2 linked regions of the Notamacropus eugenii genome follow. The protein of the gene in region 2 interacts with the protein of the main gene of each other region in a pairwise test. Links are inferred from orthologs where the notes say so. Each region holds a gene or a part of one and is shown on either strand. Other genes may lie near its edges.

Evidence for each region.
Region 1: the proteins of anterior gradient protein 2 homolog (region 2) and FABP2 interact in binary tests that used the Homo sapiens proteins (3 or more experiments, as listed by UniProt). The two-hybrid records come from large-scale screens. The link is inferred for Notamacropus eugenii from reciprocal best matches to the Homo sapiens genes AGR2 and FABP2.

The regions. Positions count from the first base shown.
Region 1 is NC_092878.1:164,759,908-164,770,585, forward strand, and holds the start of FABP2 (fatty acid-binding protein, intestinal), read left to right. Parts: upstream 1-6,392; 5' UTR 6,393-6,553; exon of another isoform or gene 6,554-6,710; intron 6,711-10,678. UniProt on the Homo sapiens protein: FABPs are thought to play a role in the intracellular transport of long-chain fatty acids and their acyl-CoA esters. FABP2 is probably involved in triglyceride-rich lipoprotein synthesis.
Region 2 is NC_092874.1:9,748,601-9,759,121, reverse strand, and holds the start of anterior gradient protein 2 homolog, read left to right. Parts: upstream 1-5,951; 5' UTR 5,952-6,042; intron 6,043-10,488; 5' UTR 10,489-10,496; coding exon 10,497-10,521. UniProt on the Homo sapiens protein: Required for MUC2 post-transcriptional synthesis and secretion. May play a role in the production of mucus by intestinal cells. Proto-oncogene that may play a role in cell migration, cell differentiation and cell growth. Promotes cell adhesion.

The DNA of each region.
Region 1 (10,678 bases), on a different chromosome or scaffold from region 2:
AGCCATTGTCAAGGGGCCCCCTGCATGGGAACCAGAAAGATGTTGGTGCTTCCTAGTCTGGTGATGTATTTTCTCCACTTTTGGGTGATGACCCTTTCCCCTGTACAAGCGTATGATGTCAGTAGAGAGAGGAGACCTCTAAGAAAGAAAGAAGATCACTGAGAGAGAAGCTATGGTAGCCTGTATAGTAGTTTGGTTAATGTTAACTATTGTGAGAAAAAGTACTGAAAAGCTGTTGCTGGTGGAAGTCCAGTTTGGGAAAGCTCCTGTAGAGATAACAAAGGAATAAGAGGAGTTTCTTTTGACTTCTCAGAGCCAAGGTCATGGCCATGATCAGGGCTCAAGTGGAGTAGCCCTGCCCCAGACTGTGCTGGAGGGTGGAGGCCTTGGAACTGTGCTAGGCACAGAACCCAGACCAAAGTGGCCCCTCCCTATGTGAGGCTGAGGGAGGATGAGCTGCTCTGGAGTTTGAGTTGTATAAGCCAGAGACAGAAGCTGGGGACAAGGGCCCCTGGAGACTGCTGTTTCTGGAGCCATGTAAAATCAGGGAGAGCTTGGAATGGAGCAGTCTATTCCTCCATGAGATGAGACATGGAACAGGAGCAGAGACTTGCCTGTGTTAGCACCCAGACCTGCAGGAGAAAGAACCACAGAACTTGGAACTCAGCCCCCACCCCAGGTCAAGATGGAAACTTTGCAGCAAGGCAGGAGCAGTGAGCATGCTTCCCTGCTACATCCCTCAGGGATGGGTTGGGACCCAGGGGGTAGAGTTGTCTATGGGGGGGGGGGGGGATGGGGAAAGTATTACAACCCCTGGGGACCCAACCTATTGGCTTTGTCACCCAACTGTCCCTCAGTACTCGGAAGTGGGGGCTGGAGCAGTATTAGGACTTGGACTCTGGCTCATGACAGCATATGTACCCAAGAGTGCCAGGTAGGAGCCTGCAACGGCAGTGTGGAGAAAAGAATACACTCCCAAGAGGACTTTACTTGTCCACTCTGTTTGGATTGAGGGGACTGTAACCTACTGTGACTTAGGGGTGGGGTGTGTTGTGTTCTCTGCTACCCCTGGGAGGGTGCTGTGCTAGGAAAGACGCTGGCCTGGGACCCCTCGCTGTATAAACAGTATTTTGGGACAGTACCTGAGTGAGGAGGAGCTGGTCGCTCAAGCCCCACAGATTCTGGCCTCCAAAGAAGGTAGAAGGTGGGGGTGGGCTACGTCATGTTATACACTGAGTGATAGGTTTTGTTCTAGGCCGTGTGGCCGTTCTGGCGATATGTGCACTGCTGCAGTTTATATTGCTACTGCCGCGTTGACATGAATTGTGAATGCCTTAATTCCTTGAATAAGGTTTAGTTTTGAATAATAGAGCACTTATTATATTCATACAATTCCATCCTAAACATACATATGTATTTGTATAGATATACACATATGTGTGAATGCGTATATACATACACACTTCTATACATACACACGTATATACATACACACGTATATACATACACACGTATTTACATACACACGTATATACATACACACGTATATACATACACACGTATTTACATACACACGTATATACATACACACGTATATACATACACACGTATATACATACACACGTATTTACATACACACATATATACATACACACATATATACATACACACATATATACATACATATATATATATGTGTGTAGATATATACAGATAGATATAGATATAGATATAGATTCACAGTAGCAGCCCTCAAGTGTGCCGTGGTGATTGGCGTTGCACCTGCTTACGTTGCTATAGGCTTCAGACTGGACTGGAAGCTGGAACTGAGACCCTGCTCTGCTCTTGGAGTTAGAGTTACAGAGGTACTGTTTTCTTCTGAACTGGTTCCTGTCTCAGTACATAGCCCATGAACATGCCTAACCTGGGAACTAGAGGGCTCCTCACTCTGGAACCTCACCCATAGAGCTCTCTACCTCTATAGTCACTCCTTAGACTGTCCTGGATCTGTGACCCCAAAGTGGGTTACAGTGAAGGGCGGAGCTGCCAGTTCACAAGTATCTACATCCTATATGGGTCTAGGACCTCTTCTTGCCCTGGTGCAAAGCTTGTCTTCTTTCAGTTACTGTGCGCCCCCAAAGTCCACAGACATCTTTGTCTATATTCCTGTGTGGATCTGAGATGGAAACATGACTCACTGTAATTTTTCTTGGATTTCCTGATCATTGCTCAGTCTACCATGTTTTCTAGAGCTTTTGAAGGAAATTTATCAGGAGTTTGGCTCTACTTTTCCCTGCCTTCCCACCACACTGGTTCCACCTCTGAGGCAGATTTTTCAAAGGTCCCAAGGTCATCGTAATTCTGTCCTTGGCAGTGTAGTTATGAAATACAAGTGGTGCAGGATAACAAGGGGTTCAGCAGATGGCATCCCAGCTCCTGTGCCAGGAGAGATCTCTGCCCTGAGTGCCCCTGTGCCTTCATGCCACTATGAATGGGACAAAGGGAAATACAAGAAGAAGGTCAGCTACAGATGTTTATGTAACTGGAGATGTTCATGGAAAATAATATGAAATCAGTCAGGTGCAGTCTTTAACAGAATAAAAAGTCATGGTTAGGAATGGTTCTGTCCCATACATCTGAACTAATGGGCTAGAACAGTCGGCTCTTCCCGTCTTTTGTCTCTCCCACTGTGGCAGCCATCTGGGTGCCTACAATAAAACAGATCCATAAGCTTATGTGTCCCCTTTGCCTCTCTACCTTTCACCTCCCATGTTCTCCCTTAGAAGCTTTGCTCAGATGAAGGGAACTGCTGATATTGCTACCACCAGTCACTGCTGTTGTGCTGATGCTCCGTGTGTTGGAAGAAGACCCACCACCTCCCTCTTTGCACCTCTTGCTCCCAAAATGACATCTTTTAAAAATGGATCTCTATTGAGATTTTCTAAGAATTCCAAGCAACTGCAGGGAGAAAAAAAACTCACCCTCCAGGCTTAGTTCTCGTTAGTCTCATCTTTTCCCAGGCTGGGAGGAAACCCAACTCCCAGACTTGTTGCAGCTTCATAAGCCTTGCTAAGATGGCTGTTACATCAGGAACACACTCTGCTCATTTCTGCCAGTGCCTTCTCTGTTCATGTCAGGAACCACCTGCTCAAAGACATTTTTGACCTTTAAAACTCTCCACAATTGGGGCTCTTACCAGCTTTGCTAGACGTGCAGCACATTCTTTTACAGTCATGATGACCTGCTAAGTGTTCCATGGATAGGACACGCCACCTCCTGGTGGCAAATTGCCTTCCTCTGTGTGATTGCCATGCCCCTCTCCCTTCTAAAAATAACCTTGTATTTATTTAGTATAGATTTTTGATTTCCTTATCTGTGTGCATGACGTACTCTAGGGATATACGTCTCTTGAGAGCAAGGATTGTTTTGTCTTTGTATGCTCTGTACCTAGGATCTAAACAGAGTACTGCTTAATAAATATTTGATGAATTAAAATAATTGATTTAAGCCAAAATGAATTGTTAATATTCTCTCCCTCTGCTCACCCTTACATTTTCCCAAAATGCTTTGGATCTCTCCTTTGTTCTCATCACACCCTCCTTTGCAAATATATTTGTGTATAGGTTGGATCTAACCTGCCTGTTAGGGAAGAGACTGTGTTTTTAATCTCTGAATCTTCATTCCTCTGAGTACAGGGCCTAGGACAAAACAAGTACTTGACATCTATCTACCTATCTATCTATCTGTCTGTCTGTCTATATCTAAATCTGTCTATGGATATCTATAGAAACTCATATCTATTTGTGTGTGTTTATTATGTATGTATCTAAAGTCATGCTGGATCTGGAGACAGAGAAAGTGGTTTCAAACCCTGTCTCTCCAACTTAATACATGTATGACCTTAGGTAAGTCATTTCACTTACCTGAGTTTCAATTTCCTCAACTGTAAAATGAGGGAGTTAGATTGGATGACCTCTCTGGTGCCTTGCAGTCCTCACACTGTGATCTAATTTGTTTCCATTTTTTTTGGAATAAAAGGAAAAGAATGACAGGAAGATAGAGGAGGAAGAATGTGGGAGTTACTCACTAGCCATCAGCCCAGATTCAAGGCCACATGCTCTTAGCTGTAGACAATGTTCTTGTTCTTTTCAAATACTTTGGCCAGAAACAAAGGGAAAACTTTCCCCATGACTGTGGAAAATAGAGCCCGCTGTTATTTCATAAGACTTCCTGAAAATCAAGCACTTCAATTAATATGAGAAAGGAAACTGAGAGTGGATATATAGAGGAAGATGAGCACAGGTAATACTTGTGTGCTTTTTTCCCCTGCTCTTTTTCACATGATACATGTGTAGTCACACAAAACATTTTCATATTAGTCATGTTGTGAAAGAAATCAGAGGAAAAAACTCAAGAAAGAAAGAAAGTTTAAAAAAGTCTGCTTCAGTCTGTTTTCAGACTCCCTAAGTTCTTTCCCCAGGGATGGAGCGCATTGTTCATCCTAGGGTCTTTAGGGTTGTCTGCATCTTTGTATCGCTGACAACAGCCAACTCATTCTCAGCTGATTATCTTACAATATTGCTGTTACTTTGTACACAGCACATTTACATTTTACTCTGCATCAGCTCTTGTAAGGCTTTCCAGGTTTTTCTGAGAGCCTCTTGCTCATCATTTCTTATTACAAAATAGTATTCCGTGCAATTTGTTCAGTCATCCCCAAAACGATGGGCATCTCAGTTTCCAATTCCTTGCCACCAGAAAAGAACAGTTGTAAATACTTTCATACATACAGGTCCTTTCCTTTTTTTTTTTTTAAATCTCTTTTGGGATATAGACCTAACAGTGGTATTGCTCAGTCAAAAGGTATGGAGGCTTTTGTGGCCCTTTGGACATAGTTACAAATTGCTCTACAGAATGGTTGAATCATTTCACAATTCCACCAACAATGCATAACGTATCATTTTTCCCAGCTCCCCTCCAACATTGATCATTTTCCTTTGCTATCCTATTAGACAATCTAATAAGTATGAGGGAGTACCACAGAATTGTTCTAATTTGCATTTCTCCAATCAATAATGAGTTAGAGCATTTTTTTCATAGGGCTATAGATAGCTTTGATTACTTCATCTGAAAACTGTTCATATTTTTTGATCTTTTATCAACTGGGAATGGCTCTTATTTTTATGAATTTGACTCAGTTCTCTATATGTTTGAGAAATGAGGCCTTTATTAAAGAAACTTGCTTCAAATTTTTTTTCACATTTACTATTGTTGACTGTATTTCCCTCCATCCTATTTGACACCCATCCCCCTGTTATTCTGTCTCTCATTTCTCCCTGTCCATTCTCAAAGATGTTTTGCTTCTGATGACCCCTTCCCTCAACCTGCCCTCCCTTCTGTCACTGCCCCCCCTTCTCTTATCCCTTTCCCCTCCTGCTTTCCTGTAGGGTAAGATGCATTTCTATACCCAATTAAGTGTGTATGTTATTCCCTCTTTGAGCCAATGCTGCTCAATATTCACTCACTCCCCTGTATCTCCCCCATCTTATCCTCCACTGTAAAAGCTTTTTTACCTCTTTTTTGTGAGATAATTTACCTTACTTTATTTGTCCCTTTCCCTTTCTCCCAGCACATTCCTCTCTCACTCTTATTTTTTCTGAGATGTCATCCCTTCATATTCAATTCACACCTCTGCCCTCTATATATAGTCCTTCTAACTGCCCTAATAATGAAAAAGTTCTTATGAATTACAAGCAACACTTCCCATGTATGAATGTAAACAATTTAACTTTATTAAGACCCTTATGATTTCCCTTTCCTCTTTACATTTTTATGCTTCTTTTTAATAAAATTTTCCTACTCAGCTCTAGTATTTTCATCAAGAATGCTTGAAAATCCTCTATTTCATTAAATATCCATTTTCCCCTCTGAAGGATTATACTCAGTTTTGCTGGGTAAGTGATTCTTGGTTGGAATCCTAGTTCCTCTACCCTCTGGCATATCATATTCCAAGCCCTCCCATTCTTTAATGGAAAAATTGCTAAATCTTGTGTTATCCTGACTGTGGCTCCATGATACTTGAATTATTTCTTTCTGGCTACCTTCAAGATTCTCTCCTTGGCCTAGGAGCTCTGGAATTTGGCTATAACATTCCTGGGAATCTTCATTTGGAGATCTCTTTCAGAAGATGATTGGTGGATTCTTTGAATTTCTATTTTACCCTGCTATGGTATGATCTAAAGAGAAGTACGTTTACTCTTCTCCTAGCCTGTGCTCTGTTCTGTGAGTGACCACAAGCGCTCTTTTCTGCCCTAGAAAGGCAAGGGCTCCTGCTCCACTGCAGCTGCAACAAGACCACTGCAATCTCTTTCTGACTGGTTGTTCAGCCCCATTACCGTCTGTGGGCTGAGAGCTCCGGAAGCAGCTGCTGCTGATTCAGTGGCTCCCAATCCCTACTTCTGGTTTACTGAGGCCTGGTCAGCGCTGCACTCCCTTTGAGGCACAAGCATAGAAGAGAAGGGAAGAATATGCATCTGGAAGGAGCTAAGTAAGGGTGAGAGCCCTGGCACAACAGATCTTTTCTGTTGAAGTTCCATGTTGTCTTTGGCTGGAACATTCTTCCACCCCACCCTTTGGAGGCTTCTGCCTCTTCAGGAACTGTCCCTTGGCATTATTTAAAGGCATTCAGAGGGGTTTGGGCAAGAGTTCAGGTAAGCTGCTGCCTTTTCTCCACCATCTTGGCTGTACTTCCAAATTTAATGATTTTTAATTGTCTCTACTCATCCTGTTTTCCAGGTCAGTTTTTTTGTAGTAGATATCTTATTTGTCCCTTTCATTTCTCAGTCTTTTGGCTATTGTTATATTTCTTCTTATTACTCCATTGAATTGCTGAGTTTGTTAGTTCTATAATATTGCATTTTTTCAGGGTGCTTTTCCTCTCAAAGTCTCATTTGAGTAAAGTTATTTACTTTGTGATCTAAGCTGCTAATATTCTAATGATTGGAATATTTTTGAGTTTAATGGTTTGTCACTGACTTCTGCAGAGGGTTTTAAGTGAAGGGCTGAAGATACATTTTCTTTCAGAGGCAATAGGGAGCCATGGAAGAGTTCTGAATAGCGTGCCAAGTCTGGAGTCAGGAAGACCTGAGTTCAAATCTGGCCTCAGACACTCACTAGCTGTGTGACCCTGGGCAAGTCACTTAACTTTGTTTGCCTCTGTTTCCTCAATTGTAAAATGAGCTAGAGAGGGAAATGGCAAACCACTCAAGTATCTTTGCCAAGAAAACCCCAAACGAGGTCATGAAGAGTTGGGCACAACTGAACACCAAATTTGTGTTTTAGGAATATCAGTTTGGCAGTTTTGTCAAGGGGGAGAAAGACTCAGAATAGGAGAATGGATTACGAGGGGTGAAAAGACTCAAATAGGGAGGCTAATTTGAATGTGAATAAATGGTTGGATTGTGTGTGCTTTGTCCTTCATTCTCCAAGAGATGATGACATGCCTTTCAATTGACTGATTTGAGTGAGGCAGAGAACTGTGCAAGGTTACCAACCTCACTTTCTTCTCCAGAGCCATTAGGGTCCAGTGGCCTGATATACATCAGGATGACTGGAGATAGCCCAGGATGCAATGGGAGACAGATAAACTAAGAATTAGAGTTTATTTAGATTGCACTTTGTATCTGCTAGCAGAAGGATGATCACTATCTCACAGTTGGTTTGTTTCTCTTTCTTATCTGCAAAGATTTCAGTAGATTCAAGAGCAATCAAATTTTATAATCATCCTTCCAGTCAGTACCAGCCCATCCCAGAAGGTCAGTGCCCTGTGGGAAGAAATGGCAGCAACTGAAAAAAGGCAAAGGGAATCTGTTGGAATGTGGACTAAGAAGGGCAAACTCGAAATCTTTGAAGTGTTTTCTATTTGCTAATAACCCCCCTCTTCTCCCTCCCCCCCACTTAATCCCAGACTCAGAGCAGGGCAGAATGAGAAAGGACTTGGCATCTGTTTTCACTAAGGATCCTGATCATACCAAGAACCTATTGTTAAATTTTTAGTGTGAGCATCTACACTACATAAATTAGCAAACTACAAATCAGGGTTTGATGTATAGTTTTATTAACTGTCTAGGGTTAAGAAAATGATTGAGAAAAATATTCATAATGCAATTCAAACCTAGTTGTTAGACTAGGTTTGATAGACTTAGCTCTTCTCTGCAATATAATGACCCAAGACAACTCCAAAAGGCTCATGATGGAGAATGCTGTCCACATCCAGAGAAAGAATTACAAAGTCTTAATCCACATGGAAACATACCATTTGTTCTCCGTTTTTGTTGTTTATTTCTTCTTTTTTGTGGTTTCTTCCATTGATTCTAATTCTTCTTTACAACATGACAAATGTGAAAATATATTTAATATGAATGTACATTGTAATCTATATCAGATCAAATGCCATCTTGGGGAGGGGGGAAGGAAAGAAAGGGGAGAAAATTTAAAATTCAAAATCTTATGGAAGTGAATGTTGAAAACTAAAAATAAATAAATTATTTTTAAAAGAAAAAATAAAACAGCTTTTTTAAAAAGAAATTGTGCTGGGAGAGGATTTGGGGAAGATGGTGGAGGAAGTCAGAAAACTTTCGGTTCTCCAAATTTCCTCCACAGAAAAAGACACTTCCTCAGAGGGAATTCTGCTGCAAAGGAGCAGAATTTTTTTAAAAAGGTCAGAGTAAAGCAGTTGTTCTCCTAAGAAAACCTAAGAAGACCCCAGGAAAAGACCTAGCTTCCAGAACAGAGGTCAGCCTGGGTGAAGTGCAAACACCTCTAGGTCAACTCTGCAGAATCAACAAACTACAAGTCCTGGGGGCAGCTGAGGTTTCCAGGCAGCCCCAGTCTTAGAAACTTTCATCTCAGGTCTGATGGCTGAGTAAGAGAAGTTTGAAGGACCTTCCACTGTTGAGCAACACCAAGTGCCGCTGTGCTGACCAGACACGTCTTGGACTATGGTTGTGGGGAGAAGGAGCTAACATACACTGGGTGAGTGCAGTAGCAGTGCTGACTGTGGGTACCAGAGGACCTGGTTTTAGTTCCAGGTAAGAGAGGACAACTACAGTTTGCAGCCACTGGAGGGACCACAGGGAGTAAGATCATTTGTAGGACACTGTGATGGGGGCTCTCACAGTGGTTTGGGAGTGAAGAGGAGAGCCCAAAGTTGAGAGACCTCAGAAAAGAGCAATAATAAGGACCTGAGGCTTAGGGTATTATTACCCATACCTTAGGACTAGAACTCTATTAGTTCACTCAGTTGCTAGAAACAAACAAATAAAATGAATAAAAATGAGCAAACTAATGATCAAGAACCCAAACATGGGTAACTACTATGGGAATAGAGAAGATATGTGTTCACATTCAGAGGAAGATAATGGAGCTAAAAAATCCACTCCTTTTTCAATGAAAAACATCAAATGATCCCAAGCACAAAAAGATTTCTTAGCTTTTAGAAGGGACTTTAAAAATCAAATAAGAGAGATGGAAGAAAATTTTGAAGAAAAAAAAAATAAGGACCATCCAAGAAAATCAAGAAAATTTTGAAAAGAAAGTCAACCAATTTGAAATAGAGAATCAAAAATCAAGGAAAAAATATTTCCTTGAAAACTGGAATAGGGCAAAGTGAAACTAATGGCATTCTAAGATATACAGAAATAATAAAACAAGATCAAAAGAATGAAAAATAGAAGAAAATGTGAAACATCTCTTCAGAAAAACAACTTATCTAGAGACTAGATTGAGGAGAAATAATATAAAAATACAGACTTCCTGAAAATTATAACTAAAAAAGAATATTGATACAATATTACAAGAAATGATCAAGAAAAATTGCCCTGAAGTTCAAGAACAGGATGGCAAAACAGAAATAGAAAATAACCCACCCATCACCACCTGAAAAAGATTCCAAGAGGAAAACTTACCAGAATATCATAGTCACATTTCAAAGTTTCAGGTTAAGCAAAAAATATTGGAAGGAACAAGAATAAAACAATTGAAATATCATGAAGCTGCAATAAGGATTACACAAGTCCTCGTAGCTATGATGTTGAAGGACTATAGACCTTAGAATACTTTATTTTGCCGAACAAAAGAGCTGGGATTGCAATCAAGGGTAACTTACTTACCCAGTGAAGGCAAGTATCATCCTCAATGGGGGGGACTTTCAGATATTTGTGACAAAAACAGAACTAACAGGAGAAATGTAAAGTAAACATTAACTATCAATTACATGGGACTCAAGCGAAATTGTACACTTCTTATGCATGAAAATATTATGAGTTCTTTTAGGAGGGCCACGTTTATTGGGGTAGTTTGAAAGAAAGGCTTGGGCTGAGCTAAGTGTGATGAGGCGATTCTTTAAAAAATTGTGTAGGGGGGGAGGAGCCCTAGAACCAGAGGGCAAAATAAGTATTCAAGGAATCCACCAATCACCGCCTGAAAGAGATCCAAAAAGAGCAACTCCTAGGAACATTATGGCCAAATTCCAGAGTTCCCTGGTCAAGGAGAAAATATTGCAAGCAGCTAGAAAAAAACAATTCAAGTATTGTGGAAATACGATCAGGATAACACAAGATCTAGCAGCTTCTACATTAAGGGATAGAAGGGCATGGAATATGATATTCCAGAAGTCAAA
Region 2 (10,521 bases):
GAAATATAGGCTAAATGGGATGAAAATAACAGGGAAAAACTAACATGAAGTTAAGGGGGAGAGTGTTTTTGTCCGTTGGTTTTGTTTTTGTTTTTGTTTTTAGAAGGCAGGATTTTAGTCAAAAAGTCAGCTGAAGTATTTACCTGGCACTGGACGAGGCACTGGAAATAGAAACCAAATGGGTCTTGCCCAGTGAACCTGACACCAAACCAGGCTGACTTTTATGTTTATGTAACACTGCTTAGCGCAGGGTCTGGAACATAGTAGACACTTAATAAATTTTTATTGACTGTTGGTCGGTGTATCAACATGTCAGGGATCTGTAAATTCACTAGGATAGGACACAGCAGGACCTTTCTATAGTACGGAATGTGAGTCTTGGAGAGGAATCTGAACCGTGGAGCAAAGGAGAACCTGGTCCATGGTTTAATAAGGGCCAGGTGGATTTGAACCCAGGACTTTCTGACTGCAGTTAAGCCTGGCATCCTATCTTTACTGCCTTTTATTAAAGAGACCTGGAATACTTCCCTCCTGTCAGAAGAGAGGTGGGGGTTGGCCAGTGCAGAATGGGGCCTGTGCTGCTTGACAAGGTCTTCCACTGAGTTTGTACAGAGAATATGGAGAGAGGTGGGTAAGGTGATAGCACCTATGGGTGAACTGGGAACAGCAGACTGTAAGCCCTCTGAGGAGGAGTCTCATTTTGGGCTGTCTTTGCCCCAGCAAAGGCATCATCATAGAGGAGATTTCTTTAGGGCCTAGGTTGGGTTTCATGGCCACCAAGGTAGCTTCCAATTTTCAATCTATAATTCTGAGAGTGTTTTGTTGCTACCTATTCTCTGCTGAAAGGGAGGATTTGTTGACATCGATAATAATAAAAAAGATGCCTGATTAGAGGCATTCCTTTGTGCGGTAGGTTCATTTTTACTCTGTGGTAAATGAAGATAAAATTGACTATCATTGATCCTATTCAAATGGGGCTTTCTTCTCTTTTATGACGTAGCACCTCCTGTCTGGCCCCCAGCTCAGGCTTTCAATCAAAAGTCTCCATTCAAGGAAGTGAGGATGTTCATTTAGACTGAGTAGGATATTCACCAGAAAAAGACTCTCCTACTACCCCAAGTATAGAAGTAAAGAAAAACTCATTGAGTTGAATAGAGGGTAACCTTTCATTCTGGGCTTCTTTATAAATAATTAATCCTAAGATCTCAGAGAATACTGTGTACGCACATGCATGCGTATCTGTGTGTATATATGTACATATGCAAATGGATATATGTGTATGTACACACAAATAAACATATACACACAAAATATACATATATAGTGTTTTATGTATATTAATTCAGAATTTTAAAATTTTTAGTAGAGTGAAATCTAGCATTTTTGAAAACTTGGCTGTTTAAGCCGAGGGGGGTCATTTTAGACAATAAAGACTTAGCTTCTTAAAGTGGAAAGACTGACAGAGTTAAAATCCCCTCTCTATCATTCACTCCCTCCGTGGCCTTGGGCAAGCACCTTGGCCTCTCTGGACCTTGGTTTCTTCATTTGTAAAATGAAAGAGTTGGTTTAGATGGTTTCTGAGGCCCCTTCCACCTCTAGATCTAAAACTCTATGGCGCTTCATCTCCATGGGCCTCAGTTTCCACACATGTAAAACGAAACCTGATGAATTTTTCTTCTGCTCTTCTTTTTATTTTTGAAAGATGGGAGCCCCAGAGAGTCAAGTGCTTAAATAATTACAAAGGCACAGCTTTCCTTATTTCTCACACTTGCCTTTGATTATTGGTGATTGGAAACAAGAAAGAAAGAATCCCAGAAGAGACCCTTGTTGCTCCAAAATTATCTAGGGAGCGATGTCTCCAACTTATAAAAAGTTTTCCACTCCCAAAAAGGGAGAAAAAATGAGGTGGAGGGCACTAAAAGTTGCCTTCTGCCATTAAACCTCTGGTCTCATGTAGACTAGCATGCTTTGGGTCATGCTCCTGGGAAATCTCAGTGGACAGTGATTCTTGTTGAGGCAGAGGTTAGACCAGATGGCCTTTGGGAGGTCACTTCCAATTCTGAAAAATTGAACACATATTTTCTGTAGATTTAAAGTTACTGTACAAAATGTAAGTCAGCAAAGTCTTATTCCTGGACCTTCCTCCCCTGGAGGAAGGATGATGGCTTCTAACAGCTGGTCCAAGGTCTTCACCCAAGGGATTCCACTTGCTCACTGTCTCCTACCCTTATGACCTCCCAAGTCAGATTCCAGCTGCTTCTTAGAACACATCTTTAGATAGTGCCCAAAGTCCAGCCAGCTAAATAACATTTATTAGCATTAAGTTGGCTCTGGAAAATGAGATATAAGCCTGGTCCATGGTAGCCCACTTCACTAGGAAGTTCAAAGCCTTCTCCCAGGAGTGTTCATTTAGAATCAAACCAAACTAGAAGTCCCTTCCACACACACACACACACACACATACATACATACATACATACATACATATATATGATGGACTGGATTTGAGGTCCTCTGAGGTGCCTTACAACTCTAGGTCCAGTTAGGAAGACCAGGGTTTGAATCACACCCAAGACACTTCGGAGGGATGGGACTCAGCAGTTAATCTTAATGAATTGGTCTCCTGCTCTGTAAAATGAGAAGACTGGACTCAATGCCTTCTGAGGTGCCCATGATCTCAAAATTTAGGATCACTTAAGCTGTCATTTTGCCAGTGCAGATAACTCCTAGTGTGAGCATTTCTGTCACTACTTCAAATCACAACTCATTCATCCATTCATTCAACACATGGGGTCACTAGCACTGCTTTGACTTAAATGGCTTTCTTTGACCACAAGTAAGGTTTCAGTGGTTGGGGGCATGGTGGGGTGGGAGGAAATGGTATAAATACAAAACACAACAATAAAACTAAAATAGACCAATAGAGGATGAGTCATTTATTCACTTTCCTTCTTGATGGAGTCTCTAGACTGGCAGGTTGCAAGCAGAACTTACCTCATTTCCAGCTTAGCTTTAGACCAAAAGCTTCTCCCTTCTTCCTGAGGAGGACATGAGGTGTGTTCTAAGTGTCCATCCTGTAGGCTGGGATGATTCAGAATTGGTTGACTGGTCTGTCCCAAAGGATACACTTGTGTGGTTTAATGTCAACTCAGAAAGAGGTCTCTAGGGAGAAGGGATTCTCTCCCAAAGGAGAGAACCCCCCAGAACCTCCATTTTGTGTCTAAATGAAGGCCATCCATCCACACCTTGCCCCTACTTGGACACATCCTCATGCCGCATCATGCTTTTAGCTCCTTTTATGTGCTCTCTTCCCCCATTAGAATATAAGCCCCTTGAGATAGGGACTCTCTTTTTGCTTTTATTTGTTTCACTACTACTTAGCACAATTCTTGATAATACAACAAGAGCTGAATAAATGCTTTGTTGAACTGATTCAAAAGTATATCATGGGAACCACAAAAGGACTCCTCTACCATTTTCTAACCCACCAGCCCCTGCCCTTCCACTCCTCCAAACTAGACCTCCAAAGCCACTCCTTTCCATTTTCTACCCAGAAAGCTGGTTAACTTTAAGGAAATCAATGGGCCTATCACCTCTGAGAAGGGCCCATCCATTGGTGGCTCCATGGCTCTCTTATCAATCTCTGAAACCTCCCAGACTCTAACTTCCTTCCCTGGCTGCCTATCTCTGACAGGTGTGAAAGGGCAGTGCTGGAGGCAGAAAAACCTGAGTTCAAATTCAGCCGCAGATACTTCCTTGACGAGATTAATAAAATTAAGTATCATAATCAAATTCATAAATAAAAATAGGAGATGGATTTATGAAGGAAAAAATAGGCAGACTCTTGGCTAGTTTGATTTGAAAAAGAGAGAAAAAAATCAAATCACTAGTACTAAAAATGAAAAAGCCAAATATACCACTAAAGAAGATGAAATTAAGGCAGTTATAAAGAGCTATTTTCCCCAATTATATGTCAATAAATTTGATATTGTAAATGAAATGGATTCTAGCCCTAACCCTAAAGAATATTTATAAAAATATAAATTGCCTAGATTGGCGGAAGAGGAAACAGAATATCTAAATAGGCCTGTTTTAGAAAAAGAAATTCAGCTTGCCATAAATGAGCTTCCTAAGAAAAAAAACACCAGGACCAAACAGATTTACAAGCAAATCCTATCAAACATTTAAAGATCAACTAATTCCAATATTAAATAAATTATTTGGCACAATAGGCAAAGAAAGTGTGTGACCAAACTCCTTTTGAGACAAATATGATACTGACATCTAAACCAGGAAGAGTAAAAGCAGAGAAAAAAAATAACAGAACAATTTCAATAACGAATACAGATGCAAAAATCCTAAATAAAATGCTCGGTAAAAGATTGGAACAATATATTACAAAGATTATACATTATGAGCAAGTGGAATTTAAGCCAGGAATGCAGGGATGGTTTAACATAAGGAAAATTATTAACTTAATTGATTATATTAATAATAAAAGTTTAAATAGTCTCCTAGCATTTATAAAGCATTTTGTTTGCAAAGAATTTTACAATAACCCTGGGAGGTGAGAACTATAGTTATACCTATTTTACAGATAAGGAAACTGAGGCAAAGATATCAAGCAACTTGCCTGGGGTCACACACATCATAAGCAGACCCAAGGTCAGAACTGAACTCCATACTTCATGACTCCAGGGCCAATGCTCTATCCACTGAGCTACTCAGCACCCCTGGTAATATTTGACACTCAGATATTTGCAGAATAGCAGTCATTTCTAGAGGCTAGAGAACTAACACCTGGGAGCTCAGGAAGGGTATCACATGGAAAACTGCACCTGAATTGTACATAGAAGGGAGTGAGAGACTAAAAGAGGCAGAGGTGAGGAAAGCAACACACCCTGGCAGGGGGCACAGCCTGTGGAAAGGCTCATAGGTGGGATATGCAATGTTTCATGCAGCAAATCACTAGTAGCCAATTTAAGTAGAGCAGAGGATAAGTGAAGAAACATCATCTGAAAGGGACTTTCTTGAGCTTAAATCCAGCCTCAGACACTTACTAGCTATGTGACCCTAGGCAAATCACTTAACCTGCTTGCCTCAATTTCCTCATCTGCAAAATGGGCTGGAGAAGGAAATGATAATTCACTCCAGTATCTCTGCCAAGAAAACCCAGATGGGGTCATGAAGGGTATGAAACAACTGAACCACAACAATAAATCAATTCAATCCCATCCAGACGAGAAATGGTTAGAGATTGCTTCAGCAAGGCAGGGACTGTGTAAGTACAGAGACTGGGGTGGCGAAATTTGGTGCAAGGGACGTTGTGAAGGGCAAATTGATGATCTGGTGAACATGCAATAAGCAACGGAAAAGTAAAACACTTTTAGAAACTTCTCAATAACAGAGTCACCTCCTAAGTTCAGCCTTTGGCTGAGTTTTCCCAGTATCCAGTTTTTGGATCACAAGTTTCAGCTGCCAGAGAAAAGGTCTGGGATGGGAAATGATTTCTTTGTACAGGATTGGTTGCCTAAGGCTACATCAGCATAGCAAGAACCTCTGAATCACTTGGTCCAGTTTTTTTTCAATTCAACAAAAGAAATCTCCAAAAGGGGAGGGAAAAAAAAGCCACAAACCCCAGCAGTGTCCTCCAGTCCCCAAAGTCTATCCAATCACATCAAGACAAATCAGCCTTCAGACAAATCCACAGTTTTGATTTAAGCTTACCTGGACTTGGCCATGTGCCCAGGTCCTCAAAACCCCCATCAAATGCCCATGCATGGATATTTTTAAATGTGCATAAACTAAACAATTGTTTTCTTTGTGGGTTATTAAAGAGGGGGGAGTCTGTTAGCCAAGGACAGTTCGATCTTTGGGGGCAAAGAGTAGCTGATTTCCTGGTTAGCTATACGTAAATGCTAGGCTGGTGGGTGGGATCGGGTGTGCTCAGGTGCATAAATAGAGACTCTCAGCACACCTACACTCAGAACTTTGGAACAGGTTCCTGGCTCTTCTAGCAAGTGCACGTGGGAGGGGCAGCAGGTAAGCCTCCTGTTCTTGCTTTCCTATAGATAGAGATGTGCACCTGGCAGGAAGGGAGATTCCTGGGAGAAGCTGGAGGCAGTAAACAGGCAGTGCAGATCCAGGCTGTGTCCAGGACGATGGTCCTTGGATTGTGCTACTGGGGTCATGGAAATGACTAGGACCCTTCTGAGCAGCGGAGGATTTGGTTGAGGCTACCATCTCCAGACACAGAAAGGATGCTACCAGTCACTTTCTTCAGTTGGCTGAACCAAAACATCCCAGTTCTCCAGAAGAATCTTTGATGCCAGACGATTTTCCATGTGTAAAAGGGCTAAATGCTAGAATTTCACTTTCATTAATCCTTTGCTTTTTAAATTTCATTTATTTGATTACAAAATCAATGCTGATAAACAAAGACAATCTGGCTTCTGCTCTGGTCAGGCAAGCTTGAGTGTGGTTTTGTGCCCAATTTAGGACACATGATTTCTACCTGTATATTGCAAATAGACATTCTTATTGCCCACTTCCTCTGCTGTGATAGTAACACCAGGCATTTTGTCAGGCTCTGGCACAGTTAAGTTGGAAGGGGTGAAGCAGGTGAGGGTCCTGGAGGGCACCAAAGTGTTAGCAGAAATGCTTGCCAAGCACCCCTCCCAAGAACATGAGGACAATGGTGGCCTGCTGGCTCTTAAGGAGTCTTCATCCCTACTCTGGGAGTGTGCACGCGTACATAGCAACGGATGAATGTGACCCAACAAAGCAATATTTTTATAAGGTGGTGACCACTTATAAAAACGCCTTTGCAGGAAGCTTGCCAAGCACAGTTCTTTTGGATTTGAAGGGATCTTGACATTGTAGAGCTCAGGAAGTGTCTTTGAAAGAGGAAGTGTACCCAGAGAATTCAGTTAGATCCCAAACATTCAGTTTTAGTTTTTGTTATCACCTTCATCAGGGGCAGCTGGGTATCACAGTGGATAGAGTGCCAGGACTGGAGTTAGGAAGACTCATCTTCCTGAAATCAAATCTGGCCCCAGACACTTGGTAGCTGTGTGACCCTGGACATGTCACTCCTGAACTGGAGAAGGAAATGATAAACCATTCCAGAGTCTCTGGCAAGAAAACCCCAAATGGGGTCGGAACAGTCAGGCAAGAACGTAAAATGACTAAACACCATCACTATCACCCAGCACAGTGCCTAGAACACAGCAGGTGCCTCACAAGTGCTTATCCAGCGTACTTCTCTGAGCGAACCTTCCTGAAAGGAAGACGGAACGAGGATTTACTATGTGCCAACCACTTTGCTAAGCATTCTATCAATATTATCCTCTGACCCTCACAGCAACCCTGGGAGGTGGGTGCTGTTATTATCCCCATTTAGCGGTTGAAGAAACTGAGGCAAACAGCAGTTAAGTACTTTGTCCAAGGTCACATAACTGTAAGTGTCTGAGGCCAGAGTTGAACTTAGGTCTTCCTCCAGGCCCAGCCCTCTATCAGCTTCCCCAAGTCACAGCCCCCAGAAGGTAAATAGAACGTAGGAGCTTGAGCATCTTGGTGAGGCGAAGGGAAAGAGATCTCTGAGAGCTCTTTGTCTGTTCAGGAATTAGGGAATATGGCTTTCCTTTTCTTTTTCTTTCTTTCTTTCTTTCTTTCTTTCTTTCTTTCTTTCTTTCTTTCTTTCTTTCTTTCTTTCTTTCTTTCTTTCTCTCTTTATTTCTTTCTCTCTTTCTCTCTCTCTTCCTCTCTCTCTTTCTCTCTCTCTTTCTTTCTTTCTCTCTTTCTTTCTCTCTTTCTCTCTTTCTTTCTCTCTCTCTCTCTTTCTCTCTTTCTCTCTTTCTTTCTTTCTTTGTTTCTTTCTTTCCTTGTTTCTTTCTTTCCTTCTTTCCTTCTTTCTTTCTTTCTTTCTTTCTTTCTCTCTTTTTTTCTTTCTCTCTTCCTCTCTTTCTTTCTTTCTCTCTTTCTTTCTTTCTCTCTTTCTTTCTTTCTCTCTTTCTCTCTTTCTCTCTTTCTCTCTTTCTCTCTTTCTTTCTTTCTCTCTTTCTTTCTTTCTTTCTTTCTTTCTTTCTTTCTTTCTTTCTTTCTTTCTTTCTTTCTTTCTTTCTTTCTTTCCTTCTTTCTTTCTTTCTCTCTTTTTTCCTGTGTAAGTAAAAAAGCATCCTGTGGTGCTTGGAATTGAAAACAATTGACCACTGAAGAGGAGAGGAGGGGAAAATGCATCTCTCCCTTCTTTGCAAAGGTTGGAGACAATGGGTGTGGTCCACTGCATACATGCCCAGAGGCCATTGATGCATTTCCCAATTTTCTTTTGCTTTCTTCTATCCCTTTTTTCTATTCTTTGCTATCAGAGGTGGCACTTTTAGAAGGGGGAAGGATAGTGATATATTTGGAAATTAAATGGTGTAAAAACAATCCTACATTTTCAGAAAAGAAAACAATGGTGAATTTAAGAACGGTATGTGATTATCTGAAATCAGAAACGAGCAGGAGATCATTCTATCAGCTGGTGCTGCACCAAGATTCATGTTCCAAATAATGACTCTCACAAGCTCTGCCATCTGCCATCTTTTGGCAGTGCAATTAATTCTGTATGCATTTGATCAAGTTCAAAATTATATCCACCTGAGAATTATAAGCTTCATGTGGGAAAGGTACTATGTTCTTCAGAGACAAGGGCTGGACTCAGGCTCAGGGGCCCTGAGTTTGAATTCCATCTGAGGAATTCTATGCACTAGCTGTGAGACCCTGGGCAAGTCACTTAGCCCCAGGGGATCAGTTTCCTTATCTGTAAAATGGAGATAATGATATTCATAGTACCTACTTCACAGGGTTTATTGAGCAAACTTTAAAGGGTCATTGAGGGGGCACTATGAGATCAATGTTTGACCAGATCTCTGAGGCTTCCAGAAGAGCAGACTTACCCCCGATCCTTCACCAACTCACTCGTCCACCTTCCCTTACCATTCATTTGACTCTGATGTTCTAGAGTAAGGAGCCCAGCATTTCCTATAAGCAAGGTTTGGAATATTCTAGACTATAGTTAAGAAAGCTGTATTAATGCTGGTCCTATAAGGCACAGGAACACACAGAGAGTCTTAGCATTTCAGAATCAGAAGAGACCTTTTTGGGTTGTATCATCTCCATGAAGAGTAGAAATAGACTGGGCCACCTCCTTTGAGAAACCTCTCCTTCCAAGTGCCCTTCTCTCTCTCTGTCTCTCTCTGTCTCTCAGTGTCTCTGTTTCTGTCTCTCTCTGTCTCTCTCCCCCTCAATTATTTTTGTACTCTATTTGTGTGTGTGCATGTTCTGCCCCCTCATAAAAGATAAGCTCCTTGGGATCAGGAATGGTTTTGGGGGCTCCCATATTCCCAGAACCTCGTAGAAGTGTTTTGTCCATATTTGTTGATTTTAAAAACACGTTTCTGAGTTGAATAGGATGGAAGTAATACAATTGTCTGTCTCTAAATGAAACATCTGCCGCCTTTCCGTTCCTAACACTGATGCTTTGCTTTTGGATAAAGCTCCTTCATTTATCCCCAGTAGTGGCTTTCACCAAAAACAAAGAGGAATAAAAGAAAATGAAGAAGATTATGAGAATGACGGAGGTGATAACAAAGATAATACTGGATGTATTAATGACAATGATGATGGGTGGAGATGATGTGGAGGGGGATGCTTCTGATGGTGATGGTCATGAGGATGGTGGGGGCCTCTAATGGTGTTGATGGGGGCAATGATGATGATAATGATGGCAATGAGAAGGAAAGAGAAGGAAGAGAAAGAAGAGGAAAAAGAGGATGCTTGTGACAATCCTGGTGGGATTTTTATGGTGTTGATAGGGATGACAATGGCAACAAGGAAGATGGTGGTGATGATGGTAAAGGCCATGACAATAGGATAACAACTGTGATGATGGTAATGGCAATATTGATGATAATGAGGAGTATGTGTTTCTGATGATGCTGCTGCTGATGGAGATGGTGGCAGTGATTACCCAAGTAATGGTGATCATGACTCATGCCAACAGATGCTTTAATGGAATTGTGGGAAGCACTTTCCTCATAACAACTATTGAAGTAATTAATTTGGGAATTATTATCCCTGTATTACAGATGAGGAAACTGAGGCCCAGCAAGGTGAACTGACCTGTCTTATGATCACACAGCCATAGAGCAGAAGAAGAGGGGAGAGGTTCCAGATTATTATCATAGAGTAGAATCATTGGTATATTTTTAAAAGATTATTGAAATCAAACTGAGTACCCTGTTGAGACCCGTGATCAGAGACCACAGTGCCTGAGATCATGAGTGAGGTGAAATTCCACTTCCTTGGCAGAGTAGACCAGCAAAGGCAGGCTATACACCCAGCCAAGCCCACTTTCTGCAGCTCCTTGGGTCTTAATCTGAGATTTTGAAAAGTCATTCACCTTTCTTTCCTCCTCCTCCTCCTCCTCCTCCTCCTCCTCCTCAGCATTCGCCATGGAGAAGATGTCAGTGTCCATGT